4 linked regions of the Astyanax mexicanus genome follow. The protein of the gene in region 3 purifies or fractionates together with the protein of the main gene of each other region. This does not show direct contact. Links are inferred from orthologs where the notes say so. Each region holds a gene or a part of one and is shown on either strand. Other genes may lie near its edges. The genes, in order: sybl1, vamp3, stx8 and stx7l.

What was found.
Region 1: the proteins of stx8 (region 3) and sybl1 purify together in Homo sapiens (affinity purification with western blotting; 3 studies listed by BioGRID and IntAct, with this or other methods). This does not show direct contact. The link is inferred for Astyanax mexicanus from reciprocal best matches to the Homo sapiens genes STX8 and VAMP7.
Region 2: the proteins of stx8 (region 3) and vamp3 purify together in Homo sapiens (co-immunoprecipitation; 3 studies listed by BioGRID and IntAct, with this or other methods). This does not show direct contact. The link is inferred for Astyanax mexicanus from reciprocal best matches to the Homo sapiens genes STX8 and VAMP3.
Region 4: the proteins of stx8 (region 3) and stx7l purify together in Homo sapiens (affinity purification with mass spectrometry; 5 studies listed by BioGRID and IntAct, counting the BioPlex papers as one, with this or other methods). This does not show direct contact. The link is inferred for Astyanax mexicanus from reciprocal best matches to the Homo sapiens genes STX8 and STX7.

Annotation. Positions count from the first base shown.
Region 1 is NC_064417.1:2,196,103-2,203,330, reverse strand, and holds the start of sybl1 (vesicle-associated membrane protein 7), read left to right. Parts: upstream 1-4,213; 5' UTR 4,214-4,349; intron 4,350-5,590; 5' UTR 5,591-5,644; coding exon 5,645-5,790; intron 5,791-6,497; coding exon 6,498-6,555; intron 6,556-6,740; coding exon 6,741-6,878; intron 6,879-7,228. Other genes in the region: polr1d (DNA-directed RNA polymerases I and III subunit RPAC2), read right to left, coding at 3,074-3,115. UniProt on the Homo sapiens protein: Involved in the targeting and/or fusion of transport vesicles to their target membrane during transport of proteins from the early endosome to the lysosome. Required for heterotypic fusion of late endosomes with lysosomes and homotypic lysosomal fusion.
Region 2 is NC_064431.1:5,052,396-5,060,317, reverse strand, and holds the start of vamp3 (vesicle-associated membrane protein 3), read left to right. Parts: upstream 1-4,907; 5' UTR 4,908-5,013; coding exon 5,014-5,015; intron 5,016-7,922. UniProt on the Homo sapiens protein: SNARE involved in vesicular transport from the late endosomes to the trans-Golgi network.
Region 3 is NC_064412.1:26,666,160-26,673,864, reverse strand, and holds the start of stx8 (syntaxin-8), read left to right. Parts: upstream 1-4,688; 5' UTR 4,689-4,694; coding exon 4,695-4,738; intron 4,739-4,856; coding exon 4,857-4,956; intron 4,957-6,310; coding exon 6,311-6,405; intron 6,406-7,705. UniProt on the Homo sapiens protein: Vesicle trafficking protein that functions in the early secretory pathway, possibly by mediating retrograde transport from cis-Golgi membranes to the ER.
Region 4 is NC_064408.1:40,137,385-40,145,362, reverse strand, and holds the start of stx7l (syntaxin-7), read left to right. Parts: upstream 1-4,958; 5' UTR 4,959-5,066; intron 5,067-7,958; 5' UTR 7,959-7,978. Other genes in the region: trace amine-associated receptor 13c-like, read left to right, coding at 549-1,622. UniProt on the Homo sapiens protein: May be involved in protein trafficking from the plasma membrane to the early endosome (EE) as well as in homotypic fusion of endocytic organelles. Mediates the endocytic trafficking from early endosomes to late endosomes and lysosomes.

The sequences.
Region 1 (7,228 bases), on a different chromosome or scaffold from region 3:
ATCAATATTTGTTGGAATAAACCTGGTTTTTAATCACAGTTTTCATGCATCTTGGCATCATGTTCTCCTCCACCAGTCTTACACACTGCTTTTGGAAACATTCAAGCAGTTCAGTTTGGTGGTTTGATGGCTTGTGATCATTCATCTTCCTCTTGATTATATTCCTGAGGTTTTTAATTTGGTAAAATCAAAGAAACTCATCATTTTTAAGTGCTCTCTTTTATTTCCAGAGCTGTATAAGATCAGTAATATCAGTTCTCTATATCTGATGGAAAAGCTCATTTAATACACTTGGTGGTCAAAGAACTAAACGGCCTCCAGTGCTTTGGAAACACCTGCAGTGTTCACAGTCTGCATGATTCTTCATGAAGTGAGGAACAGAAACTCAGTAATGCTTTAAGACGTGACTGATGAATTACAGGCCTATTATAAATGAACACAGTCAGCTGCTGTTTCTAAACAGGAAAGGAGGGAAAGAGAGGAGTGAGACGACTCCACTGATCAAATGCCAGTTCTATTGTTTTGTTTAGATCAGGAAAGAGGTGTGTTCTGCTTTCAAAAACTCAGTGAAACAGTGATAAAGAAGGTGGATGAAGGGAGCAGCTGATTAAAAACCCCATTAACAGAACAGGATAAAATCCTCTTATCATATAGAGACTGTTTGAAGTCTCTAATTGTGGGGAAATTAGACGGTCTGTGCAAAACTACAATCTCAGCATCAAAGTCTAGAAAACCATGTTATCATTTTTTTGTGGCATATTGCACGTAACTGTGATAAAGGAGGAATAAAAATAGCACACGGAGGCCAAATAAAGGAGTATTATTCTTTCTAATTCAAAACTGCAAAATTGCCTGCTCGAAATATGCATTAGTATATGATTGAAAATAAGATATGTAGAGAATTTTGGTGTAAAAAGCTTTAAAGTTCTATGTAGGGCAAATATATTTATATTTTTAAGATTTATCACTTTTCTCACTTTATAATGATTCAATTACAGCATGTTCATCAGTGGCTTTAAGTCAGTATTTATTTTAAATACTTTGCTTAATTAAAAACTTCTATTTTTTTTATTTTCCTTTTATATTCATTTTAGAATACTTTAGCATTAATTGGTGTTCATTTTTTCATTGCCTTTATTTATATAATTGGTAAAAATGCAAGTTATTTGCTTTTATAGTGTATTTATTTTTTACAGATACACCGATACATCTTTATTTTTATTTTAAAATAAAAATTAAGATATCTGTTGTAAATTCATCTGCATGTGTGTTTTCATTTACTCACTTGCAGAGGGTGTTTTGGGGCCACATATACAAAGACCGGGATAAGGTAATAAACGTTTTATATTTTGTTTATAGATTTTATTGCACTAAAAAGAATACATTTCTCATTTTATTCACAGTATACAAAACAGACTTATTACACATTGTTTACAGTCTCCTCCACAACTATACATGCATAACAAGTAAAACACGTTTGACCCTGAACTACACATAAAGACACACACTGTTTTGACAATTTACATAATTTAAATTTTATAATAATCTAATTCTACCATATTGAGCTTTTATATGTGGTAATTAACTTTCAGTGCTGCGCATTTTAATAATTATACACTCAGTATCTTCTACAGCACGCCGCCCCCTAGTGGTAGAGAGGTTAAACTGCATCAGTAACATATCTTCTCTTTCTAAACAAATGTGTATTATACACTATGTATTATACGATCAGTCCAGTCAAATGTGTACACACCTCTTGTGTGTAATAATGTATCTAAATGTAATATAGATAAGATAATAGGGTAAAAAGTCTAGTCTAAACCTAGTCTGCCTGGTCTAAACCATACCATTATTACGGTCTCTCTATAAAAAAAATAACAAAAATAAAAAATAACAAACAAAAAAAAAATAGAACGACCAGCATTATAAAATAAATCATCATGATGTTTAGAAATATCAGCTGACTGTCTGCAGTCTGTGCTGTGTTCATTTATAATAGACCATTAATCTTCAGTTTTATTAATCACAGAATTGCTGTTGTGTGACATTTTTAGTTTGTTTATTTAAGTAAAGATGCATATTTAAATGTTTATTTAAACTTGTTAATTTTGTGATAAAAATGGCTTTTGATGGAAAAATGGAAAAAAAAATTCGATACTGTTGTTTTAGTAATAATTACAAACATATTTAAAAAACCTTTAAGGGACAACTTGTAAATATCAGTTTTGTTTTTTTTACTGCATTGCCAAAGTATCTGATCGGCACTCTGTATCGGCAGAAACTCAAAATCAAATGACTCGGACTCAGGGCATAAAAAATGTGATAAGGACATTCCTACTAAATGTGGCTATTTAGAAGAATCTAGAACTGTGGTACTTTACCAGCCTTAAGATTTTATACCACTATATTTGCATTACTGCTTATATAGGTTCTGTTTACAATGGTACTGTCATTTGTGTATCTTGTATCCCATGTCTATGTCTGTAACCCTGTTGTATTGTACATTTAGTGTCTCTCATTCTTTATATTTTATTTTTATTTTTATCTTGCTGCATTTGTTGTAACTTTAGGAAGGAGAGTAGTAATTTTAATCCTCTGTATTTTCTGTAAATATGCAGAATTGACAATAACACTTTTTGATTTGACTACATTTAGTACTGTGAAATACAAAGCATTTCAGGGTGGAAGACCAGGTGACAAACCAAACGGCATACAGTTTTCTGTACAATTTTGAGCATCCAGAATGTGAGCTATGGTTTATTAAAGGTTCAAACTTAACATCAACGTTGTCATTTAACGTTGAAATGCCAGCATGGTTGGTTAAACTATGGGTGATACATTGCTTTAAATATTTGGGAACCACATATCTACAGTTTAAAACATGTTCTGGTTTGTTTAACACGTTTTGTTTACAGAATAATTCTGCATGTGTTCCTGTATAGCCTTAATACAGTCTTCAGCATTAAATTTACAATGTAAAAATAATATAAAAAGAAACACAGTGAATCAGAAGAGGTGTCTAGTTTTTGTCTAATACTGCAGATTATATAACGTAAATATATATTAATCCTACCATCTCCAGCACGCGCTTCTTCTCTGTATCTGCTGCGGCCATGCTCGCGTTCTGGACCGTGGCACGCGTGTCGCAGCATTATGACGTTCCGCTCAGAGGAGTGACGCGTTCTGTTATTATAGCTGCAGCAGAAACATCAGCTTAAACTGCTTTAATGCAGCCAGGAGGGAATAATAATTTTTTTTGTAATTGTTATGTGTGCATGCGCGTGCTGCTCGTCTCGGCGCGGGGACTTTTTAATAAAAATAATATATTAAAAAACAGGTGTCACTCAAACACAAGCACGGGTTTGTTTACGGGACGGGTAAAGGCTGGCGCAGGTTGATGATGAAAGTTATGGTCAGCCACCAGAGAGCGCTATTCGTATGAGTGCCGATGGAGTAATAGTGAAAACAGATTATATTAAAAAAATATGAGTTTATATATTTTTATTTATTTAAACTAAACAGTGTCAACACAGAACGATATAAAATGTTTCATTAGCACCAGCGTATTTGTAAAGCTTTAAAACTCTAGTTATAAGGCTTTAAAACATTTAAAGTGCTCTGGTTGTGACTCCCAGAGGCATACTCAGTAAATATTTTATCCATAAAATAAAATGTACAAAAAAATCGGACCTATTTAGGCCTTATTTACTCTTACATATATTAAATTCAATATATACAATGTAAAAAAATCGTTCTAAATTAATGAACATTTTGAGAAAATTTCATTTTGTTTTTTGGAATTATGCATATGTATATATCTTTAATAAAATAGTTCCATTGCTGCTCTGTTTGTAGCTGCACTGTTTGGCTTGTAAGCGCTGCATCATTTCTAGATTATCTGTATTTGGCAGAGTAATACATGGAGAGCTTCGGTTACAGTGCATTATCGGCTGATAACAGCACTCATAGAGTGCTTCTCAAGCAATCACACTGCAGGGTTGGAACTAACTGTGGAATAATGCTAAATAAAACTGTTAATGCATCCCTAGGCTCTGTCAATTTTGTCACATGTTTAATTTGCGTTTAAAAAAATACACAATACATTTTCCAGATTAACTGCATGCGTTAACACGTTAATTTTGACATCCCTAAATATAATATAATTTCACCCACTTCAGAAAAAACTACACTGAACCTGCGGTTGAACTACATTTCCCGGCAGCGCAGCGGAAGCTCGGGGTCTGGGTGAAGCTGGGCGATGCGGAAAGAGCTCGCAGGAGCTGTGGAGGATTGTTTTCATGACTACAGCGTGTGGATGGACTCATATGCGTGATTTAACAGCGTGACAGGTAGCTGTATTTTCTGTTTATATGTTATTCTATATTTGCTTTATATAAACTAACAGCTGGATGTAAATATAACTGTGTTTGTTTGTTAGTTAGCTGAGTAACGCTGGTAGAGTTGGTAGAGTGTTTTGTGATTAGGTTGATCGCAGGGATGTGCGGTAGATACAGTTCAAGTGCTGTAATATTTTGTATTATTGCAGTATTATTTAGATGCCATCTTTATGTAGCTGATTACTGAGGAATTTAGGAGGTGGTTGGTGGGGTGCTGGCGGGGTTAGTGAAGGCAGATCGGGGCTGGAGTGTTAAAGAGAACGGGTGGAGGATCTGGGAGAATCTCGCAGCTTCCAGAGGCTGTTGTTGTGGTAGCTAACCTAGCTAATGCTAATGCTAACGCTATGTGTTTCGGTTTCATTATGTCCGTGGTGTGTTTTATATCATAGCCTGTAGATAAAGTTAGATAGTGCTGGTAATAGGGTTTCTTTGTGACGAGAAAAATGCGCTATTTTTGGTTTTAAACACTGTCGGTCTCTAACGCTGCTAGCTAGCGTTAGCTATCATATTAGCTTGTGACTCATCAGGAGCTATAACTAACATTAGCTTATTTAACCCTAGCTAACTAACTAGCTAATTACCACAATTGTGTAAACGAGATGTAATTTCGCGTACCTGCCCCTAATAATGATTAATACAACATGACAAGCTGTTTTAGTCTGTGGTCTAACTTATTCTTTACTCTCATTTTAGGTTACAGCTCTAATTTTATTTGCTACTGCTAATGATAACATAACTACATGACATGTGTAGACATGTTATTATTAGCAGTAGTAAAGAAAAGTAAAGCAGCATAAAGTTATCCAAAAGCAGTGTGTAAGACTGGTGGAGGAGAACATGATGCCAAGATGCATAAAAACTGTGATTAAAACCAGGTTTATTCCTCCAAATATTGATTTCTGAACTCTTAAAGCTTTATGAATATAATCCTCTTTTCTTTGCGTTATTTGAGGTCTGAAATCTCTGCATTTTCTGGAAATAAATGCTCTAAATGACAATATTTTTATTTGGAATTCGGGAGAAACGTTGTTGGTCGTTTATAGAATAAATCATATACCTATAAATAGCAAAATCAGAGAAACTAATTCAGAAACTCTTATTTTTTTTGCAGAGCTGTATGTGTTTTAATATTGAGACATAGAACAGGCAACAATGTTGTGGTGTAGACTTATATTTAACATTTTTATCTACAGCACCTGCAGCAGTTTTTAGTCAGTAATTCGGACCTCATCACCCTCGTCCCTGCTATGGCAATCCTCTTTGCTGTGGTGGCTCGTGGAACAACCATACTGGCCAAACATGCCTGGTGTGGTGGAAACTTTCTTGAGGTGACAGAGCAGATTTTGGCCAAAATCCCGTCCGAAAACAACAAACTCACCTACTCCCATGGCAGGTAGGATGAACAGCCTACAGACTGCAGGCATTAGATTTTTTTTTCATTTTTGCTATTAAAATGTCTAGTAGTACTAAGACACAGCAAGTTTCTTTATTTAAGGTGAATTCCATCATATTTCCATTTGGAAAATTTACAGATTTTGATTCTTTACGATGGTGGTGATGAGAACCAGGTGTAGTGATATCTGATGCACATTCAAAAAGTCTCTACAATTAATGCATGTAAATAATGCTAAATGCTAAATAATAATAATAATATAACAGTGTCTCAGGCATGAAGCAGCATATCACAGCTGTCCACTGGAAAAGCATGTAGCTGCATTTTTTTTTTTGTCAGGTTTTACATTTTTCGGTCCATTGTTTGAAACCTGTATATGCTCTGTACATTCTAAGTGTAGATGATTTTTGCTTTCACCACTGTAGAGATACATGTTTTTCATTGCACAGCAAGGATATGCATAGCTATTTAATATTACAGATATCTGTAAGGAAGCATTTAAATGCATTAATTTCTTAAGAAATCTGGTTTCTACTAATGCAAAGAAGAATTATGGTACTCTGTAATTCTGTATGTTTCTCTTGAATAGCAAATTTCCTACATTTAGAGGTTGAATTTTTGTAAATGTGGAGGATTCTCCTTTGATATTGCCTTTTTCCTCCAAGTGAACTTTGCTAAATTATTGCCGTGGCTCTTCTCGATTTCAGCTATCTCTTCCACTACGTCTGTCATGACAGAATCATCTATCTATGTATCACAGATGATGTAAGTATGAATCCCATCCTGATTGACTTTTGTTCTTGAATGTTCTGCAGCTAAATCTGTGATCAGATCATTAACATTAAATCCTGATCATGCTTATTATTAGTAAACTTGAGTCTAGAGTGATTTGTTTTACATCATATATGAATGTCAGTGAGTGAGGTTGTTTTGTGTGCCCTTGTGTGCAGGATTTTGAAAGGTCGCGTGCGTTTAGCTTCCTCAATGAGGTGAAGAAACGTTTCCAAACCACCTATGGCTCCCGGGCTCAGACAGCTTTACCCTACGCCATGAACAGTGAGTTCTCCAGCACTCTCGCTGCACAAATGGTAAGTTGCATCAAACAGTTTATGTTATACATTTATAAAAGTATACTTCCTCAGGTTCCACCTTTCTCTTAATGTTGCTGTTTAGTTCCAGAGAAGAAGTCTTGTATACTTGCTTTCACTTTTCAGATGAAACAGTTCTCTCAAGTTATTATTATTATTAATTTAACTAGGGATGCACTTATTTTTTTCAAACGGAGGGGAAGCATTTTAATTTATATTAAGCAATGACAAATGTATCAATCATATTGTAGTGTTTCCTCTAATATTAAGATTTTTTTGTAGTGGTTTGAATGAACCCTGTAGGAGAAACTACAAGGGCCAGACTTAAACCTTCTACACACACAAACATG
Region 2 (7,922 bases), on a different chromosome or scaffold from region 3:
TAGAACTAAAAATGATTAAGATTAATAGGGGTGCCCAAACTTTTTCATATGACTGTAACATGAAGTAGATAAGTTGTAGTGGAACTTACATGAACTGCACTTTTACTGTTGAAACAAAACACTCAACCGGACAAACTGTGTTTCCAGTAGAAGAATAATACCTTTTGCTTCTGTGCTGTGACTCAATGAAGGTAGTCTGAGACTCTATAAAATGGAACACAAAGAAACAACAATAATTAATATTTTCTAGTCAATTTCAGGCCTTTCTATTATTACTTTACAAACAAATCAGATAAATTAAAAGCATATTTATGGAACAAATATATATTTCAAATGTTCTTGTTCCATGTTTTAGTAGCATCTGTACAGAGTAGCTGTTTTTGGTATTTAGGTCTGTTTTGGACATTATGCTGCTTCTTCAGGAATTAAACTATAACATATGTAAGGTGTCAGCACACCATGCATGTTCCTGTGACAAACACAAATCTCTTTTTATCTTTTAGGAGAGTATTAAATAAATTGGCCAAACTTTTCTCTGTATCTAACCTGTAAAGTTAAGTGTAACAGGTACTGTACCTGTGGTCATACATTTTTCTGTAAAACCTCTGATTCATTAAAATATAATCTTTTTGCACTAAATATCTGTCTTTCTTTCATTCATTGCATATACAATGTATTTTATCTAAAAAATATTTACACATTCATAGAGCTAGAAAATAAACAAAATTCACATATGTTTAGTGTCTTTTTTTAATTAAGTAGATTACAACCTCCATTAGCCTGTACATTAGTATAAATACACTAGGGCATCTAAAAAAAATTACTTACTTTATTTCAGTAACTCAGTTTAAAATGTGGAACTCATTTATTATATAGATGTATTACACACAGAGTGATCTTTTTAAGCATTTATTTATTTTATTGTTGATAATTATGGATTACAGCTAATGAAAATCCAATCAGTGTCTCACAAAATTAGAATATTATGTATGACCATAAAGCATGCTTTCGGCGCATTGTGCCAGGTCCAGCTGGAAATTGAAATCCACATCTTCATAAAAGTTGTCAGCAGAGAGAAGCATGAAGTGCTGCAAAATCTCCTGGTATACACTGCATGATTTTGGACTTGATATAACACAGTGGACCAACACCAAAAAATGTAAAATCTTACAGCACTTCATGCTTCCCTTTGCTGACAACTTTTAAATAGAGATGAGGATTTCATTAAGCTGTTAGCCACAATTATCAACAGTAAAAGAAATAAACACTTAAAATAGATCACTCTGTGTGTAATACATCTATATAATATTTGAGTTTGACATTTTGAATTAAAATACTAAAATAAAAAAAGAAAAGATCACTAAAAAATGGTGAGTTTCTTTAATTTTACCAAATTGAAAACCTCTGGAATATAATCAAGAGGAAGATGGATGATCACAAACCATCAAACAAAGCAAAACTGCTTAAATTTTTTGCACCAGGAGTAAAGGCATAAAGTTATCCAAAAGCAGTGTGTAAGACTGGTGGAGGAGAACATGCCAAGATGCATAAAAACTGTGATTAAAAACCAGGGTTATTACACCAAATATTGATTTCTGAACTCTTAAAACTTTATAAATACAAACTTGTTGTTTTTTTGTGTTTTTTTTTTTCTTTTGCATTTAAGGTCTGAAAGCTCTGCATCTTTTTGTTATTTCAGCCATTTCTCTTTTTCCTGCGAATAAATGCTCTAAATTTGGGAGAAATGTTGTCTGTAGTTTATAGAATAAAACAACAACGTTTATTTCACTCAAACATAAACCTATAAATAGCAAAATCACTGAAGTGGTGTCAGAGCTGTATATAATATCTCAGTATGAGTAAGTTACTTGTAGCTATACGCTGGTAAGGAAACTATGCTTGGAGAATGTAACTCTTAATACTAAACCTTTACATATACATTCAAGCAAAACCAATATACTCTAGGCTGTATATTAAAAAATAAAACAGCAACATAATACTCCAAACAATTCAACAATTTAGTGTTCCCCAAACATGACAGTTTTAACACAAAACTTTGTCAATTCACTGGGGGAAACGTATTAAGAGTTTAGCTAGCTCACCCACTGAACAGGATTAGCTAGCTCTAGCTAGCTGCCCAAGGCCAAACCCACACACTCACACAAAACAGTCCCACATTTTCCAAAAATCAACCTTTTTTGTGTACATAACTTGTCAGAGTCTGCTGTGAAATTGCTATTGTGTACTTTTATAGAGTTATTCATTTATTTTAACCTCTACAAACCTGTAAAACAGGAGAGAAATGAAGAGACAGCTCCAGAGGAGACTCAGTTCTCTGTAGTTCTGAGAGATAGAGGTGGGCGGATCGATCCAAATATCGATAATATCGATACCAACGCTGGTATTGGTATTGAGCAATACTCGTGTAAAAATATCGATATTCAAGCTTTTTTCTCTGCCGCACGCACTGACTGCTGTGCACGAGATTCACCACAGTCTACTCTCTGGTCTCTTGTTGTTGCACATGCATCACATGGCTCAGCAAAGCCAGCCAAACCGCCAGGCAGGTAGGCTCAGCCTGGCCCCGCCCACTCAGCGCTCTCCTCGAGTCCACACGCCTCTACCTCAGGAGATTTGTGTTGAGTGATATTTTTTTACACTCTGTTTATTTAAGAAAAACTTGCATTTGAATTGCACTGAATGGAAGACAATTCCTTTCCAAATGACAATTCTATTAAAAAAAGAAACAAAGAAACAAAGAACTAGAAAAGATGTCTAGTGAGGGGAGAATTTTTATTTTATTTTTTTATATTTTTTTATTTTATATTTAAACTTTGTTTTGTTACTGTTCCATTGTTTCTAAAAAAAATGTTGATTGTGATACTAAAGTATTTTGTTATCACTAATGTTTGGTGAAATTTTATCCGAGGTTTTTGGATCATTTGGATCTATAAAGCTTAAATATTAAAAAGTATCGGTATCAGTATCGATATCGGCAATACTGGCCCTGCGTTTACTTGGTATCGGATCGATACCAAAATTCCCGGTATCGCCCACCTCTACTGAGAGAACAGTGTAGAGGGCGCTGTACTATGTACCTGCCGCCTTCTACTGCCACCCTCAGGTTCGGAGGGGCTATAGCAGGCTTGACTAAAAGAGCTTTATTTGTTGATTTTTTTAACTCAATAAAAGTACAATTTCTATTAATTTTACAAGAATAACACCCAACCTCAAATATGTAAAATAAAATAAAATATTTGCACGTATTTTTCACTTTTTACTAATACTTATTAAGACTATAGATTATATGTAGTTAAATATAATACTGATATAAAAAAAAAACTCTGGTGTAAAATTGACTTTAGGTGTAGTAAAACATGATAAAGAGTACTAACCTTTGTTAAATAGCCCACCTCTGTTCTCCCGCAGCTTTCCGAGATGCAGTAATTTTGTGCTTTTTTCCCAGCACTCTTTACAATGGACGCTTCAGGGCATCCACTTGCCCCTGCAGATAAATCGCTTTTTACACTATAATCCAGGCTTAAAGTAGCTTCACAACTTATTGACAGAATTCGGAGATCCTTGACATTTAAAACGAGGCATTAATAACTTTAAAAGTGCACAATAAGCTTATTAGAAAATAAGGCAGAGATTAGACTACGCTACGGGTTGTAAACAGTGTTTTTTAATGAGCTTCTTGTCCACTTTTAAAGTTATTAATGTCAGGGCTTCTACCAATTCTACCAGTGAGGTGTGGGGCTACTTTGAATTTTGAATCTTTTATAAGGTCATTATCACAGTATACTGTGCTGTTACATTTTAATAGTGGGTTTCTTGACATGATAAATGAAAACAAAAAGCTTGTCTTCTCAAAGAGACCTCAATATTACCCCTTGAATAGGATGAGTTAAAGTCACCAAATAATACATTGTTTAAAAACCGTACTAACTAGCTTATTTTCTGTTTTACATATTTTATCATATCTAGGCCTGTCACGATAAGATTTTTTTGTGGACAATATATTGTAATAACAGAATAACAGAATAGCATAAAGAAGGCAATTAAAAACCTTTTAAAGACAACAAAATGTGAATTAATCAATTATTATAATTAGTTTGGGAATTAATATACTTATTTCTTCACCTACTTTAGTCCACACTGTGTGTATCGAGCCACAGTTATTGAAGCATGACTGGCTAAAATACTGTTCGCTGTTACATATGTGAACAAATATACAAATAAACACAATAGACGATATTACGATTATCAAAAATTATTAAGGTCATGTTAATTTATTGTACGATAAATAGATATTGCAATTATCATACCCCTTGCTGGAGACTACAATTTTATACTTTTCAGTAAATTCTTAGAAGAATACAAATAGACCACCTGAATTCAATAGGTCTAGAACAAAAAATATCACACTTTTAGCAATAACAGCCCTATTATTCAAAGTATAGTTATGTAGTGAAAAGTTATAGGTAAATATAATCTTTGCAGTATTATTTATTGACTGTTTGTGGAAATTTGACAATTTTACAGAGATTTTTAAAACTTTAAAATCACATCTTAATAGAAACTGAATTCCTCCAACTTTACTAAATAGTTTGTTGGAAATGTGGTACCACAGAAGAGCAGAAGTTTCCTCTGTTGTGCAGGACAAGTTTTTCAGAGTTACCAGCCTCAGAAACAGCTCCCCATACAAGTTAACTAGCTCCCTAGATGCTAACAGTACCTAAATGCTTCTTCACAGAATATTTTGGTTTGTTTAACACTTTTAAGTAACTAAACGATTCATTATGTGTTTCTTCATAGTCTAAATCACTTCACTATTCATTTACAATGTAGGAAATAAACTGAGTCAGTAGTTTAGTGTGGAGCTGGCCCTTTAAGTTAGTGTGCTGTGAGACAGTAGTCCACACAGACTGACTGATAGACAGAGCTGCAGCTACTGATCACTACGGAGTTTATACAGCAGCCGGCCCTCTACCGAACACCACATCAACAACCATGTAAGTGTGTTTTATAGCGAATGTGTGGGCGCTTTTAAGCGGATAGATTATATTTATGTTCGCTATATACATATTTAGGAAGTTTGATAACTAGCTAGCTATCTACTCCAGCTAATACTCGCTCAAAACAACGCCCAAACTTCCCCAGGCCTCCCTCAGCAACAGGTTAGCATGCTAGCCAAATAGCTAGCTAACTAGCCAAGCCTAGCTTAGCATAACTTATCTTAGTGTTTTCTTTGGCTGTAACTTTAAAAAAAGCTTCGTGGTTTTGAGTTAAACAGTCTGTGTACCTGATTAGGTTTATTTTTATTTTCTTTAACTAAAAAGAAGCTTCTTTAGTATCAGTTACAGTTAAATACAGTTCCAGCGCCCAGACTAGTTGTTATTAGTTAGCTAGTTAATAAACTTAATATAAGGGCTAGGTTAGCTAGCGCTAGATAGCCAATTAGCTTAGCATAACTTTTACCGGTCTCTTTTACTTAAAAGGCTAGCTGCGTTAAGCTAAGCTAAGCTAACTAGGTCAGTTAACTTCAAGAAACTAGCGACCAGCGTCAAAAAATTGAAGTTTTTTTCCGTGGTTTTACACATTTTTCGTGGTTTTACAGCGCCAAACTGCTGATACATCGTCATTTATTAATAATTACATTAAAACCCCTAATCACTAAAGGATAGAGAAGGAGATGATGTTTTTAAATCCGCGGACAGTGTTGAGAAAACTCTCTGCTATATTTTGTGTTTTTTTCTGGATATTCTATAGCTAAATAACCGCTAGAAACTGCAATTGTCCATCATTGCCACATAGTACGAGATGTGTCAACGGTTTTCTCTTTTTTCTGTCTTAATGAACACAGGAACCAAGCCCAAACTTATATCCTCCAGCAAAAGTAAATGAAACACTCCCTTGTGTGATTAGGCCATAAGGTGCACTAGAAAGTGATTTTCGTTTGTACGTCTGGGGACTATTTTTATTTTATTTTTTATGTGTTTTTGAATTGACAACCCCTTCATTGACGTTAAGTTAAAAAATCTCAATAAAACAATCCTGCAGTTTTTTGTTACGATGCATAAATTTAAGTTATATAAATGCGAATCCAAAAATCCCAACACAAAACATATCCCAAACTTACCTGTACATGTACCTAAATATCTGAGACAAGTATTAATGCTTTAGTACACTCAAATGTGAAAGTAGATCATTGTATGTTTGATCACGAATGCACTGAGAAGGTGTTTATTTTTACAGGCATATGAAAGCCCATACCTTGTACTTAACCCTCCCTAACATGATTTCTATTTTTGGGAAAAAAATATAATAATAATTCAAGCCATTTTTGGGAGCTTGGGAGCCCCTGTTGATATATCAAACTTTTAAATGTGATGTGTTGTAACAGGAAAGCGATTAAAACATGAAGAGAAAGGAGTCTCCTGGACTAAAGATAAGACCCAATGTTTTAGTATAATTGATCAAACATAAGAGCTGTATGTGCTCAGTGTTACCCTGAGGCAACAAATAAAAATACTTTTGTAGTAGGTTTCTATTCATGTCTCACTTGTGTCACATTGTATTGTGTGGATGTTTTCAGTGTAGAAAGTCTAGAAATATAAATAATAGGGCATAAATAAAACAGGCATTGTGCTATTTTTGTTTGTTCTACTATATATACTGCAATATATATATTTTTTAACACCAGATTTCATAAAAAGTTTCACTGTGATCCATTTCTCTCTTTCTTTATACAGAATTTGAGTGTATGTTGGTGTCTTTGACAGTTAAACTGCTAAACAGTCTGTTAAACACAAACGCAATCAGGTAGTGAAAGTGAGAGCAGTAAGATTTAGTTCGGATATGAGCTGTCTGACAGATGGCTCTGCTTGTTTCTTTCATCAGGTGACAATGGTTTTGTCTAGTAATTCAGACATGCAAACCTGTGGTTATGTCTAAGGCAAGAACGCATTATTAGTGGATGTCTGTCCATCTATCTGTCTAACCAGTAAACTTCAAGCTAAAAAACAATTGGCCATTGAAATCAGCCTTTAAATCCCAGATCTCTTACATGCCTTTTCTTCAATTATTTGATTACATTCAGTCATAAAAGTAGTAGTAAGATCAGTTGACCTGTGTAAATACTGTTGACCTAGTCACACAGTGAATGTTTTGTGTTCTGAGTTATTTTAGGGTCGTCTGAGTGGACCTGTAGCTAAAACAAAGAGCATGTGATTTGTTTTCCTGCTGTTGTTTTACTAATCCTAAAAGAAATGTGCTTTCTTTCGCACAGTGCAGTTTACCCCGAGAACAGGTCAGTTCTGAGTAGGTCATGCACAGTATGCAGAATGTAACCTCACAATATGTTGCATTTTCACAATTTGCATTGTGTGTTTTTTTTTTTTTTTTTTGGGAACAGTTTGTCAGAGACATAGACAACGCGCCAGAAAATCACTGTAGTACTGTGTTTACAAACAAAAGGACTGAAAGTTATTAAAATGGTTTTAACTTTACTTCACATTTGAGTGTTTAGCCCTCTTACTTCTGCCTGGCATTAGGCAAAAAGTTTCATGTTTATCTGCACAAAATGTTGTGTAGCAATTAGCTGTGAGAAGATGTGTGTGAGTATTTGCACATCTGTGTCAACTTTGGGTGTTACGTAAAGTAGTTGAATGCGATTGTGTTTGTGTGTCTTTGTTTGTATAGTTTAATAGATACATTTTAAATTGATCTAATTTCTGTACTGCGGTAAAATAGCTATATTATAGATATTAAGTGTTCTGTGAGGTTTGTCTGCTGTGTGCATTAGACCCCGAGGAAAAAAAAAATCAAACAAATCCAAAGAAAGGCATGCTGTACTCCCGTTTCTCTCATAGTTTTGTTACTAAAAAGCCACAATTCTAGAGTAAAAAGATAACCATGCA
Region 3 (7,705 bases):
ATTTTACCATATGGAAAGCATTTGGCTGATTGAGTATGTACAGTAACAATATAATAATGGTCACATGATTTGTAGAAACATTTCCAATAGTCCAAAATACATTATTTTGGCATTTTTAACACTGACTGACGTTTATTACAGGGTGCTTTACATGAGCTGAAAAATTAATTCAGAATTATAGTGTATTGACCAAAATATGGTCATTATATGGTCACCTTTGCACAGAGTTCCCACACTTGGTCTGACAAGAGGGGCAGGCGATATCAACAGGCATTAAATATAAAATCTAAAATAAAATTTAGTTTATGATTGCCCAGTATTTTAATAGGAGATTTTCAGTTTACAGAAAAATATAGTCTTTGACTATGCCTAAACCTGGGAAACTGGAATGGGAATGTTTACATTACCAGGCTGAAGTTACTCAAATCTGATTTTTTGCTGAATGTGGCTCAGATCTAATTTTTTCATGGCTGTGTGAATGTGCCAAATCTGACTTTTTCAAATCAGAGTTGAGCCATTTCCATACGTGGTCCTAAATTAGATACGAATTCGATCCATTGATATGAGACATGAATGTGAACTGTCAAATCAGAATTCATGCGTCTTTTTGCTTTTACGCATGTACTACGTGCTTCTCTCTTATACCCTCTCATATTTCTTGTGCCAGCAAAAGCAAACCGCCTGGCCTTTTTTCACCGCCTCGAGCTGAGCATGTACTTCAGACTAGTTGTTTGCTCTCCACTCGAGCAAAAGATGCTCCACATATGAGCTGCTAACACATCCATTTCACCTCTATAAAGGTACAAGTCGTCTCTCAAATATGACATTTTTGTTGTTGATGAAGAAGGCAATGTTTTAAAAGTATCAGTGTGTGCATGTTAGATGTTTCTGGGACAGATTTGTTCACATTACACACAGATACAGATCACTTACACTTGTGAATGTAAAGCGTCAAGATAGACAAAAAATCGGATTTGAGGAATGTGGCTTGTAATGTGAACGTAGACTTAGTGTACATGAATCACCACAACAAAAAGCAAAACAAAAATAATATTATGAAGAGTAATCAGTACAGTCTCTGAAAACCTTGCCATAATGTATTGTTGCTGTAAATCTAGTTAACAAAATATCTAAAAAACCTCATTAACAAAGAATGTAATGATAAACCAACCTACACCCCAATCCTTCCCCCATTACACACTTTAAATTGAATACTGCATAAATACTGTTTTCAAATGAAGTCACTCTTACCTGTGTGGTCTTTTTTGAGGTGTTTATGTGTGCATGCCTTGGATCTCTTGGGTGCCAGTTTGGTGTGGCTGTCATCTTTCTTCTCCAAGTCTGTCTGCAGGGAGAAAGATCTTCCAGTACTGGTCCCTTCAGACCTGGACTCACTGCTGTCATCAGGTTCACACATGTAGAAGGATCTGGACCTGGGTCTGCTGAAGTTTAAGTCAATCCTTCCAGAACCCTCAGGAACAAAAAGGGAACAGGAGCGAAGTCTCCGACAGCCAGCCAGAGGAGCGGCACCTGCATCGTTCCCTCGCTCCAAATCCACCAGACCAAAACGAGTAAATTCACTACCTGGGGAAACCTGAAGCATGGCTGTTATAGCACTACTTACATAAAGAACAGAAAGGTTTGCAAGAGTTTAGAAGACTCTAGAGTGAGTTAGAAGAGTTTAGATAAATGTGGAAGAGTCTGACAGCTTTAGAAAAAGAGTTACAGAGTTTAGAGAAGTTTAAAGGAGAATTTAGAATAACCTACATGAGCTTATGAAACTAATATTAGAGAGTAATATCTTTCTATGCCAAAGAAGTCATATTAATATTAATATAAATATTAATATAAATATTCTCCTCTATAATGTCTGAAGTTATGTTTCCACAATCAACATTACAAAAAAAATAACACTGCAACATATTTGTGAGGTATTGCACTTACAAAAAACAAACAAATAAACAAGCAAGCAAACAAATGTACAGCATCTCACATGACTTCTTATTCCAACACGTGTTTTTATTCTTGAAACAAAATATAGACAGCTTTTGGCCTTAAATGTGGGGCTTTATGATGTCTTCCAGTCATGTTACTTAGTGTCAGTCACATAAATCACGTTTTGTCAGATGACAAAAAAAGTTTAAAAATCTTCATATGATATCAACTTTGATTAATACATTGTATTGTATAAAGCCTGGATACTTTAGAAAGGTCTAACCTGTGAATATCTTGGTTCGGCATTGAAGACATTCTACTTTTTATGATTATCATTGATTAAGAAATTATCATTAATGAGGTTTATTAATTGAGAACTTATTATCATTGTTTACATTCTTATGTTTGGTATAAGTTAAAACCTTTTTATTTCATTATAAATTTTGTATTTGGATTATTCTCCTAATTTGGTAAAATAAGTAAATAAGTGTAAAATGTATATATATATATATATTATTTTTACTAGAAAGGACGTGACAGGAAAATGTCAAGGGTTTTCCTGCTTTTGGGGAAGGATTATCTGAGATATTGTCTCAAGTTAGTTATCATTACAATTCATTTAAGAAAATAAAATTTGTTTGTATTTTTTTATACCCATGGAAAAAATTATGTTAACCATGTCCTTGGACTCCATCTAAAAGTGGTCCCTTGATGTGCCTTTATAACATATTATGTGTTTTCTTGTATTAGAGTAGTATAAGTATTACATTTATAATACAGAAGCATGAAATAGTCCAATATACTGGTCCTGTGGAACTTTACACATTAATATGACATGGCTGTGAATATAATATTTAAAAATCAACAAGCTGACTGTGTCAACAATTTGGCTGACTAAACACCACAGACAAAAAAAAACAACAGATTGGATAAGTTTCTGCTGGGCTTTTAAAAAAGATTAACCCTTTTTAAAAAATATTAACTGTACAACTGTATACAATAAACTTAGGGTTAAATGTGCGGATGTGAATTTAGGAAAGGTTTGATTACAATATTGTTTTTGTTAATACACATTTCTTCATAATGTGAATTTAGTCATTTTTCTTTGTGCTGTATAAAAATGCTCCAAAATGACTTAAATTGTATAAAATGTATTTTAGTATGTAGTATTTTAATTACATTAACTTCCATTCAAAGTTGGTAGCAACAAGGTTTTTGTTTCTCCTAAAAGGTTATAAAACATTTAGCATGATAGTGAAGGTTTGATAAATGTAAAATAATGTAATTAATTTACAGAGGTAATGGATTAAGAGAATAGTTTATGAGACAGGGGAGCAGTAGAAACAACTAGAAAACAGTAAAATACTGATTGAAAAGACAGAAGACAATTGTAGAGCATTTCTAGCTAGCTTTATAGACTTTTATACGAAAACTAAACAACTATGAAGTATTTATATATTGTAGCCTTTATTACTAGGATGTAAATCTTATATTAGAGTACTTATTTAGTATTTATATAACTTAACAAATGGGGACGAGCCCTGAAATAAGTTCCGTGAAACTAGCTGTCCTCCTGGAAAGCTATTTTGAAATGTTGATATTTTACCTGAGGATGTAGGCGATTTAACCACAGGTAACATTTATTTTCTTTATATTTATTTATTTATTATTACTTTTTATATGGAGCTATACCAGAGGAGATATACCTCTCTGAAATTAATTTAAAAGGGTGACATTTTAGAAAATGTGCAGAAATGTCCGTGTAAATAAAAAAACATTAGCTTCGCGTTTCCAATACCGAGTGCAGTTTGTCCCTTACAGCGCTCTGTACTCAGTCGCAGAGTGAAACAGGAAGCAGCTGATCGCTGTAGCTTTGTTTTGATTTTCGTGTTAGATTTTTTCTGCTTTTGAGTTTTCAGTAAAACTCTGGGTTAATTCAGCGCAGTTCAGATGAAACATGGCTCAGGACCTGTGGTAAGTCTGAGCTTCAGCCTCGCTTAGTTCTCCTTATACAGCGCTATATAAGTTATCTGTATCAGCAGCAGCTCGAGCTGTAGAGAGAGTTAGCTCAGGTCAGCTAACCAGATAACTAAAATCATTAACATATAGCTAAAGCTGCTGGAGAACTTCTTACTGCGTACTGTCCTGAGACCTGTACTTATCCGGGCTCTGGGGTTACTGGTGTGTAAAGACGGCAAATCAGTGTGAGAGATTTTTGTCCTGGTGTTTAGAGGGAGAAGCTCTCAGTCAGCTGATCCCAGTCTCATGATGCAGTCCTGCAGTTTAAACTCAGACTGTCTGCTGATAATTAGCGTTAATAACACCGCAGTGCAGACACTACCATACAAACCACACCATATAACGTAAACTCTGAACGTGTTCAACACTCCGACCAGATATTTCTTGCTCAAAAACAGAACAGTTTCTGTTTATGGATCTTTTTAATCCAGCGAGCTTTCTTTACTGAACTAAAACAGAAACTATAGAGGAAACTCCACTGCATTTTTAGAATTATCTAGCTTCATAACTGTAGCCAGAGAGATAACTTACGTAACTACCTAGCATGTTTGAGACAAGCACATTCAGGTTTAGTGTGCTTTTTATTTGCCCGTTTTATTCAAGTTGTCAAATTGTCAGTACAGCTAACCACACAGTAATATAATGTAATGTAATGTTTTAATTTTTATTTCTTAAGGTCTGTCAATCCAAAAACTTTGAAAATATCCTCAAGTGCAGTCACAAAGATCGTCAAAAATGTAATGATTAAAATGGCACTCATCAGGAAAGGAGTAGAGGAGAACTTGTAGGTTAGGTGTATAATTAAATATTGTTAATAGTTTTTTTTTATTTAACTGTTTAATTGATCTCGTTCTACTTTGTGTAGAAAACAGTGCTATTGTTTTGAACCACTATTTCATCAGGTTGCAGAATTATGATGCCACTTGCCGACTGGCCCAAGAAATCGCAGAGAACATCCATGAGCGGAACAGACTGCAGAGAACCGGTGGGAACCCTGCCAAGGTAAAGAAATGACCTCAAAATAATGTTAGAATTGATTAGAATTAGACAAATCAGAGTTTCCTCACAAAAACCATTGAACTCATGAGAGCTATAAACTAATACAACAGGACTTTACCAGTCACGCTCATCAACAGAGTGTAATACAGAACATTTTCACTAATTTATAGAGTAGATAATAACATAATAAAGAAACTGAGACAGAGAGAAGTAGCTGCTAAATGCAAACTGGAAGCCAGCCAGTATGTTACATTAAATTACATTACATTACATTAAATTACATTTAGCAGACGCTTTTGTCCAAAGCGACTTACAATAGTCAAGTACAAAGTAATAGAAGTTTAAAGGTAAAACATCTTTAGATAGGGGCTTAAAGGAGGTCAAAGGGAAATAATGGGATAGAGAAGTGAAGGAGGGGAAGAAGGAAATGAGGTTAGAAGTAGTTAGTGTGTTAGAGGTGTTAGGAGAGTAAGTGCTCTTTGAAGAGGAAGCTCTGTCTTCAGGAGTCTCTTAAAGATAGTGAGAGATTCTCCTGATCTGGTAGTAGAAGGTAGTTTGTTCCACCATTGGGGAACTCTGTATGAGAACAGTCTGGATTACTTTGTGTGAATGTTTGTTTGGTAAAGCGAGGTGACATTCGTTGGAGGAGCGCAGCGACCGGGAGGTGACGTAAGCCTTCAGGAGCAAGTGCAGGTAGGAAGGAGCGGTTCTGTCATCACCTTGTAGGCGATTGTAAGAGCTTTGAATTTGATGCGAGCATCAACTGGTAGCCAATGGAGCTCAATGAGCAGCGGGGTGACATGTGCCCGTTTTGGCTGGTTGAAGACCAGACGTGCTGCTGCATTCTGGATCATTTGGAGTGGTTTTACTACACAGGCCGGGAGGCCATTTAGCAGGGCATTGCAGTAGTCGAGGCATGTGCACAAACTTTCTGATTTGGTCTGTAGAATATTTCTTCATAGTCAGGCTAAGGCTGACAGGCTAATGGTTACCGTAATTAACATGAATGTCAACTTTAACTGTAATAACTATCATTTAAATTTTTTTGGAAATTTGTATAATAATAATGTTTGATAATGAAAAGAACACTGCTCTTTAGAAGCGCTTTAATGTTATAACATTATTGTATAAATTACATAAATGTGGTCTTACATTGACAGTGATTTTTTTTAATCCAATTATTTCTAGGACAATATGATAAAAAGAAAATACAAATGGCTATAAAAATACTGTACAGTGAATGTAGAGTGCATAGTGCACAGTCCTACCCAATATTACTGGTAGTAGTTATATCTGATGAATATAAGTTAAAGTTATTAACGTATGGTTAATTTAAGTTAATGCTTTTTCTGTGCAGCTCAACATGACTCTAAGAGCGTCGCTGCAGAAGCTGAAACAGAACATCTTACAACTGAGGGAGACACTGGTTCGAGCCTCATCACAGCGCCGCATGTATCCTTTCACCACTCTTCCAAACTCCTATAAATTATTATACACTCTTATACATGCTTATAAAATGTTATACAGTATTCATACCCCTTGTACTTTTTCACAGTTTGTCACCTTACAACCGCAAGCTTAAATGTATTTTATTGAGAATTTAAGTGATAGACAGACACAATGTAGCACATGATTGTGAAGTGGAGTGAAAATGATACATGATTTTCAAATTTTTATTCAAATAAAAATAATAAAAGTGTGACATGCAAAGTTATTAGTAGACCTATCTTTCACTGCAATTACAGCTGCCAGTGTTTTGGAGTTCCACTTCACAATTATGTGCTATTTTGTGTTGGCTTATCACTTAAAATCTCAACGAAATAAAATTAAATTTGTGATTATAAGGTGACAAAATGTGAAACTGTTCAAGGAGTAGAAATACTTTTATAAGCCATTGTACATGCTTATAAATTTCTAAATGTTTTTTTATACATGCTTATACAATTTTATACATATTTATAAACTCCTACACATTTATTCACTTTAATAAGCACTTATACATGCTTATAAACTCTAATATGTGCTATTATACACCTGTATGCACCTTATACACTCCCAAATATACAGATCTGGGGAAAAAATAAGAGACCACTTCAGGGTTTGAATCAGTTTCTATCTGATTTTGCTATTTATAGGTTTATGTTTAAGTAAAATGAGCATTGTTGTTTTATTCTATAAACTAAAGACAACATTTCTCCCAAATTCCAAATGTAAAAAATTGTCATTTAGAACATTTATTTGCAGAAAATGAGAAATGTCTGAAATATAAAAAATAAATATACAGAGCTTTCAGACCTCAAATGCAAAGAAATACAAAGAAAACAAATTCTTATATTTATAAAGTTTTAGGAGTTTCAAGCTGTTCAGTTTGGTTTGATGGCTTGTGATAATCCGTCTTCCTCTTGTTGGTAAAAATAAAATAAAAATCCTCATTTTTAAGTGGTCTCTTACTTTTTCCAGGGCTGTATATATATCTAAACACTTTTATACTGCCTTTTATACACCTTTTTTGATGCTTCTTCTAATAACATATCAATATCAATATAAATAGCAAAAATGGTTCTATTATTTGCAAAATGTTCCAGCAATTTCCATATTTGTTATTCTGTTGAGACGTTACAAAAAAACTGCCTTTATAGGCCTGAATTACATCTACACAAGTATAACACAAACCTACAAAAACAGCTAAAACTCTAAAGACTTATTCCATGAAGCATCAGGTGCGTGTAAAATTACATCAGGATGACAAAGC
Region 4 (7,978 bases), on a different chromosome or scaffold from region 3:
AACAGTTAACATCTATCTAGTAGAACATCTATCTCCTACATGGACTAGGCTAGTTTTTAAAATGTGTCTCCATAAAAGTAGAAGGAAGCAGAAGGAAGCATGAAGTGTTGTAAGATTTTCCGGGAAAACACTGCACTGACTTTGGATTTGATATAACACAGTGGACCAACACCAGCAGGTGACATGGCTCTACACACCATCACTGATCATCAGTTAATTTTGCATTTCATTTAGATATCAAGGGACCAGAGTCCGGAGGAAGAGTGTAGAGTCACACAGTCCAAGCGGCTAAAAACACTCTATGTAATACAGCTTTATAATATATAGTTTCACAATTTTTTGAGATGCACCTGTAATTATTAACATCATGGGAAAAGGTTTTTCATGGCAGCAGTGGGAATAGTTTTTCTCAGGAAGGAAGCCAATATAAGTTCTCACTTTTCTTAGCAGGGCTGATTCTGTACCTCGCCTCTTGAACGTGCAGACTAGAGGAAGACGGCTCTCTTTTTTTCTCAGGTTTTTTTCTTTATGTAAAGGGGGACTTTGAGATGCTACAAGCCACAAATTCAAGTTTTACATCTACAATGGAATCATATTTAACAGAAGAAGCAGATTTAAGCCAATATTGTTATCCTGAATCTAATGCCTCATGTGTAAAAAGCTTTTACAGTGTAGGAGCTAAATCTGTTTTATATTTTTTACTCATTTTGGCAATGGCAGTGACTGTTCTTGGGAACTTTGTGGTTATTGTCTCCATTGCACATTTTAAACAACTCCATACACCCACAAACATTCTGGTGATGTCTCTAGCCTTGGCCGACCTGTTTGTGGGCATGATTGTCATGCCCTTCAGCACGATCCGATCTGTGGATGGCTGCTGGTACTTTGGACAAGGCTTTTGTTTACTGCACTCTAGTTTTGACATGCTTCTGACCTCTGCATCTATCTTCCACCTGGTCTGTATTGCGACAGACCGCTATCAGGCTGTGTGCCATCCTCTTCACTACCCCACAAGAATAACTATACCCACTGCATGGTTAATGGTAGCTCTGAGTTGGACTACAGCTGCGGTGTATTCATATGGTCTAATGTATTCAAAAGCAAACGTAGCAAATCTGGAAGAGTATATGGAGTCAATTTTCTGTGTGGGAAGTTGTGACCTTTTGTTTAATGCACTATGGGGGGCTTTGGATACATTGATTGGATTCCTTTTGCCATGCTCGGTCATGGGTTGTTTGTATGCTAAAATATTTTTGGTGTCAAAAAAGCATGCGACGAAAATTGAAGGCAAGAAGCAGTGCAAGAAAGGGACCAGCATGAATACGGTGTCTCAAAGTGTGAAACATGAGAACAAAGCAGCAAAAACCCTCGGCATTGTAGTAGGTGCATTTATTCTTTGCTGGATGCCCTTTTTTGTTAACTCTATAGTTGATCCTTACATCAACTTCTCCACACCTGCGGTACTCTTTGAAGTGCTTGTCTGGCTGGGTTACCTTAATTCAACTTTAAATCCTATAATATATGGCCTCTTCTACCCGTGGTTCAGGAAATCCCTCTATCTTATTGTTACACTGAGAATATTTACTCCTCATTCCTCTGACACAAACATTTTTCTAGCTTAAATGTCTTTAGCATAGCAGGTTGTGTTATTTATGTACTTTAGTTCTTCTAAAGAGTAAAATATATTGTATTATAATGAATAAATAAAATGTATGTCACATTTCATCATTTATTTGCATTTTAAACTGCTTAACACTGATCAATAGCATTTGGACTTACATATTTAGATGCGCACATGCATAGAATGTGTTACATTAAGTAAATGTAAGAAAATGAAATGTGTTAATGTGAAATATTTTATTTTTGATTTTTGTGTTATGGAATGTGAACAGATTCAGGATCAGATTATCAAACTAGCTGTTTTGTTGTTTTCAGTAGAGAACACTGTCATATATATATATATATATATATATATATATATATATTATTTTTTTTTCATTTTTAGATTTTTATGTTATACATACTATTTCATGTTTTTACAATGGTGGTTATGGGAAACAAATGTCACAATGACTACAAAACAAAATAAATCATTTTAATTAATCATCATTTTTACATTTTAACATCTAAAAACACCAAAGAACCTCTTATATGTTTATCTATGTAATGACAATGGTAGAATGCAAATCTGAACAAATAGGTTTTTGTTGGGGACTATTTTGCCCCACAATGCACTGTCATGTATTCATTCACCTTGAATACATTTTCAAAGATTTATTTCATAACTATGTAAACTATTTCAAAACTTTCTTTAAATAACTTTCTGTGGTGAAGCTTTAAACTTTATTTCTCTTAAATTGAACTCTGTGGACTCTTCTATTTATCACCTATGAACAATATCTTTAGAATGTAAAATTTCTCACCACACCGCTTTTTCTCTTTTTAAACAGTACATCCTAATCATTAAACTGTCTGGTTGCAGTTTTATAAAGGAAACATTGTGCCATAATTTGGGGCAAAAGCATTTCGTGTTAGTGATCAAATTAAAAATTAATTTGTTTAATTAAAATGTGGGGTTGTGGGGATGGCAGGACTCTGAATAGGTGAAGTCAAGTATTTACCACATTTCAGGCTTGTAGGACAGTGCAATTTACTGCCACACATTTACATTTACAGAAATGGCCAAAATTCTGCCATCTCTGCACTTCTTACAGAAAATGCACCACCTACGCTGATAAACAACCAAAACACAAAAAAGCAAAAAGAAAAATGTTGCATCTTTCCACACAGAACTGCAGAAAGAAACTGTACAAAATATTCATACCACAGGCTTCAGAAACACTTCTATACTGGAATTTTGGACCACTCTTTTTTTGTTTTGCCTGACCAGTTTCTTAGATATTATTATATATTAACTTGAAGTTCCAAAAAGATTTCAATCTTTCGAAAAGTAGTTTGAATCCATTTTAGATATCAAATACATAATAGAGCCCAAAGACATCCTTGTGTCTCTGATATGTGGTTGGGAGTTCTAAGACAAATTCTGAGACAAAGTGATATTTGGGTGAAATAAACATTAAAAAGTAGTTAGCTGAATTGGTAATATTTGGGTGAGATAAGACTTCAAATCTGTAAGTTGTTAGATAAAGTGATGATATTATATTAAGGAGTAGTAAGTCATTAATTTCGCTAGGTGGCAGTGTCGCGAAAACATAGGGTTCTAGAACTGCGGTCCTGAAACTACTGCGGTCCTAAAACTGCAGTCTCTGGTTCTGCATATAATATATACTATTGACCCGAAACCCTAGTTTTTAGAATGAATATATTAGGCTAAGCTGGGATGGTCGTTCCAGCACACTGGTACCTTTAAACACAATATTTTATCCCTTCTTCACTCAGAAATGCTTCTGCTTTTAGTTTAGAAACAAAATAATACGCACTGCCGCTTTAAACATGGTGGTGGTATGAGCATGCATGGCTTCCAGTGGCACTGGTTCACTAGTGTTTATTGAAGATAAGACAGAAGCAAAAGGATGAATTCTGAAGTGTACAGAGATTTACTTTATGCTTAGATTCAACCAAATGCAGAAAGGTTAGTTAAACAGGGCTAAACTGTACAGATGGAGCCAAAACATGGAGTTTTTGAGGTGAAGAAGTAGAATATTCTGCTGTGGCCGAGTCAGTCACCAGATCTCAACCCGATCAAGGTGCCTTTCACTTGCTTAAGGCAAAACCCACAAGCAAACAACAACTGAAAACAGCTGCAGTAGCAGTCTGGTAAAGCATCATATAGGATGTTGATGGGTTCCAAAATCCAGGCAGTCATTTTAGAAAATAGTTTTAATTCCTAAACACTTCATTGGATGTTTTTGTTCAACACCTTAAATCAAACCTGAAAGTCTACTTCAGTTGCATCTCATTTGTTTCATTTCAAATACAGTGTGGTGGCATGCAGAGCCCAATTACTAAAGATTGTCTCACTGTCCACATATTTTTGTATAGTGCCATGGGCAGATAATGTCTTAAAACAAAATACAAGCACTCAAAATTGTTCTATTTAAAACTGGCTGAACATGTGATCTTTTTTCTACAAGTCGTCCCCTGGATTTAACTAAGCAAAAGATCTGGGGTTGCTGCAGTTGGTCAGGTTTAGGTTCAGCAACAGTATGTGCTGAAAGAATGAGGTCAGCTGACTACCTGAACATACAGAATATAGACCAGATTATTCCATCAATGGATTTTTTCTTCCCTGATGAAACGGGCATATTCAAAAATGACAATGCATGGATTCAGGGTGCTGGAATTGTGAAAGAGCGGTTCAGGGAACATGAGATCATCATTTTCACACATGGATTGTTCACCAGAGTCCAGAACTTTGCTCCAATGAGAAACTTATAATAAATAAATATACATAATGCAACACTGGATTGAAATAAATCTTAAGACATTACAGAAACAATGCCACAGCAAATGTGTGCCGCGATCAAAGCTAAATGCAGTCCAACAAAATATAAGAGTGTGTGACCTTTTTTTTTATCAGTGTATATTGCATTTGTTATGTGCCACAAATGCTAATTACAGAAGCACTGTATGACAATAATCCAGTTGTTTCTTGCCATTTTAAAAGGGTGTTAATTTTGTCCAGTTTCTTTCTGGGCTTCTGAATTAACATATTATTGTAAATAATCACATTCATTTGAATACTGTCTTGACACCTTTGGTTATAAACAGGTTGGTTGTAAAATGTTTGAGAACCTTTGACATAAGCAATGATAACTGGGCTTGGTGTCTTTTTTAGTTTTTAGTGTTTAGTTTATCGTTGAAGATTTTGTCTTGACATTTAAAAATATCTAAACTGCAAAAAAGTAGTTTAATTTATTAATTTAAGTGACAATTCTATTCAATCTCAGCGCAGGAGAGGGCGGGCCTTGTCCGAAAACGGGTGCGGAAAAACAACCGTGAAATCCTCCAATCACCGCCCGACAGACTCTCACGTGACAGGCTGGACTTCAGCTGTGAGGAAGTCTGCTGTGGAGAATACTTTCACCAAAGCCGAGGAAACCGAGGTAAAGCTAAAAAAGACGCGTTTAATACAGCTGATAAACCCGGAGACTGACTGTGTTTAATGTGGAGCGGCTTTAAGAGACGTACAGTGGTGTGAAAATATCCGGAAATGTGTTAAATAGTGCAGAGTATTGTATATTAGGTGTCGCGTCAGTAACTAACTCTAGGTTAACTGACGCTGGAGGTTTCTGGTGCGTGAACACTTTCGCTGCCAGTGTGGTTTCGTTTCTTTTTGTGACTTTAGAGCTTAAATAAGTGAGTTTCGGTCTTTATAGGGACTTCTGCGAAACTTACATTGATATTTAGATCCTATAAAGCCTATATATACTGTGTATGTATACTGTATATATACACACATGTGTAAGGCTGGTCTGAGAGCTGAACCTGGTGACAGCTGCTTCTGGGTGTGTTTGTTAGTTTCCGCATTTTTGCTGTTGTCTAAGTTCAGCAGGTGAGTTTTAGAGGAGACTGTGAAGCTCAGCAGGTTGTCTAATGACATAAGTACAATCTCCCAAATCCTCCAGTAAAAGTATTTTAGAGACAAGAGTAAGAACAGCTGTCAGAAACAGCTCTCAGGCCCGGGTTCAGTCTTCTCCTACAGGACTGCAGTGTGGCCTGGAGAACTTCTGCTGTACATATCATAGTGTTTTCCTCCTTTACACACCAAGTTCATGTCAGGAGGAGCTTGGTTAGTTGCTGAGTAGCTGGAACAGATGTTTTGGGAGCAGGACAATCTCTAAAACACCTTGTACCACCCATAATCAAACTAAAACACACATGCATGTGATTTTAAATAATGTGATACATTCTGCTCTTTATATTGTAGTGTTTTCCTCCTTTAACAGATGAGTTGGGAGAAGGACAAACTCTAAACCGGTGCTTATCAAACTTTTTATACCTTGTACCATGCTCAAACTAAAACACACTAAAGTGTGTCAAAGACCTGCATAAAAAGGATTAGTGGTCATCAAAAAAGTATTGAGATTTACGAACTCCATAAGAGTGTCCCTTTATTAATTATGAGAAACTGCAATTAAATAAAAGTATATAACCTACTTACTTTTTATTTAGTACAGAGTATTGGTATATTTTGGCTCTGTATTTACTTATAGGAAGGACCCTCTTGTCTGCAGGTCCATCCTCAGGGGGAGGTAGTTGTCGGTAGTTTCATTTACTGTGAGTAGCTATCAAAAGAGATCAATCATGAAGCAGCACAACTACTAAAATAATATGAACAAATGCAGCTCTGGAAAAAAATTAAAAGACCACTTTAGTTTCTAAATTAGTTTCTCCAATTTTGCTATTTATAGGTACAAGTAAAATGAACATTGTTGTTTTATTCCATAAACTACGGACAATATTTCTACCAATTGTCATTTAGTGCATTTATTTAAAAAAAAAAAAAAAAAAGAAATGACTGAAATTGCAAAAAAAAAGATGCAGAGCTTTCTTACCACAAATAATGCAAAGAAAACAAGTTTATATTCATAAAGTTTTAGGGGTTTAGAAATCAATATTTGGTGGAATAACCCAGGTTTTTAATCACAGTTTTCATGCATCTTGGCATGTTCTCCTCCACCAGTCTTACACACTGCTTTTGGATTATTTTATGCCACTACTAGGGCAAAAATTCAAGCAGTTCAGCTTGGTTTGATGACTGTGATCATCTTCCTCTTGTTTATATTCAAGAGGTTTTCAATTTGGTAAAATCAAAGAAACTCATAATTTTTAAGTGGTCTCGCGTTTTTTTCCAGACCTGTATGTAAATTACGGATGGCAATTTAATGGATTGTGTATTATTTATGCTATCAGGTATCCCTTTTCCGTCAACAGCAAGACAGTGAAGTATTGTTTTTTTAAGGTAGGAAATGTGGCATAAATGCCATATGATATGTCAAGACAATTTCACAATATTTGATGTATCACAATAGTGGCAAACATTGCAGATGAAATAAATAAAAGCATGTGTTGGCACACTTTAAAAGAATTGATGACATCCACAATATAAACTATAATGTAGTTATGTTATATTGACAATGTTATATAGACAACTATAAATCAATAAAGTATATACTTTCTTTGGTGTTACATGATGTGTTGATTCATGTGTGGAACTGTTTGGTACAAGTGGTGGGACAATACATTATCATATCGCTTTGACTGTAACATATGCTGATGTGGCGTCAATTATCATTATTTTTCTTATATTTTATTGAAACATAGGGGCTCTAAGAAGACTCGGCCCTCAATTTGACTTACAAAAGTCACTGTTTTTTTAGGTGGGGGCGCTAATCAAATAAAAAGGGTATACCTGTGACAAATAATATTGTTTGTAAAATTCTGTAAAACTGATCCATCATTCCTGATATTTGTATTTTATTCTCTTCATCCTCTATTGTACAGAATTGTCTTGCATTATATTGAGTCACAGTATTATGATATTATCGATACCATGGGCAACGTAACGTGATACCATATTGGGATCTGCCCTGTGATTCCCACCCCTATTTGGTATAACACACAATAACATAGGCTTTATCAGTATCATGTCACACTTAGTACTTTAAATGTTTAAAGAAAAATGTAAGCAGTAAAATGTATTGTTTTTCAATTTCAGTATTTATTTTGTGTAGAGCAGTCCAGTTGCTGAATAAACAAAATCGAATGAAACTAAAGTCAAAAAGGAACTGGGAACTAAACATGAGGGACTAAAATAAAAGTGCTGAGAAAAGTTTCTAGTAGACTAAACAGAAAACATATACATATACTGAAAAATCATGCCGTGATCTTGTCTTTTTTTGTTCCTCTTGCTGTGAAAAATACAAGTATTTGTCAGTTGTGGCTTGTGAGCTTCTTAATGTGTTGTTACTTATGTATCCTCTACCAAATTCTAGAGTTGGAGGAACTGAAAGGC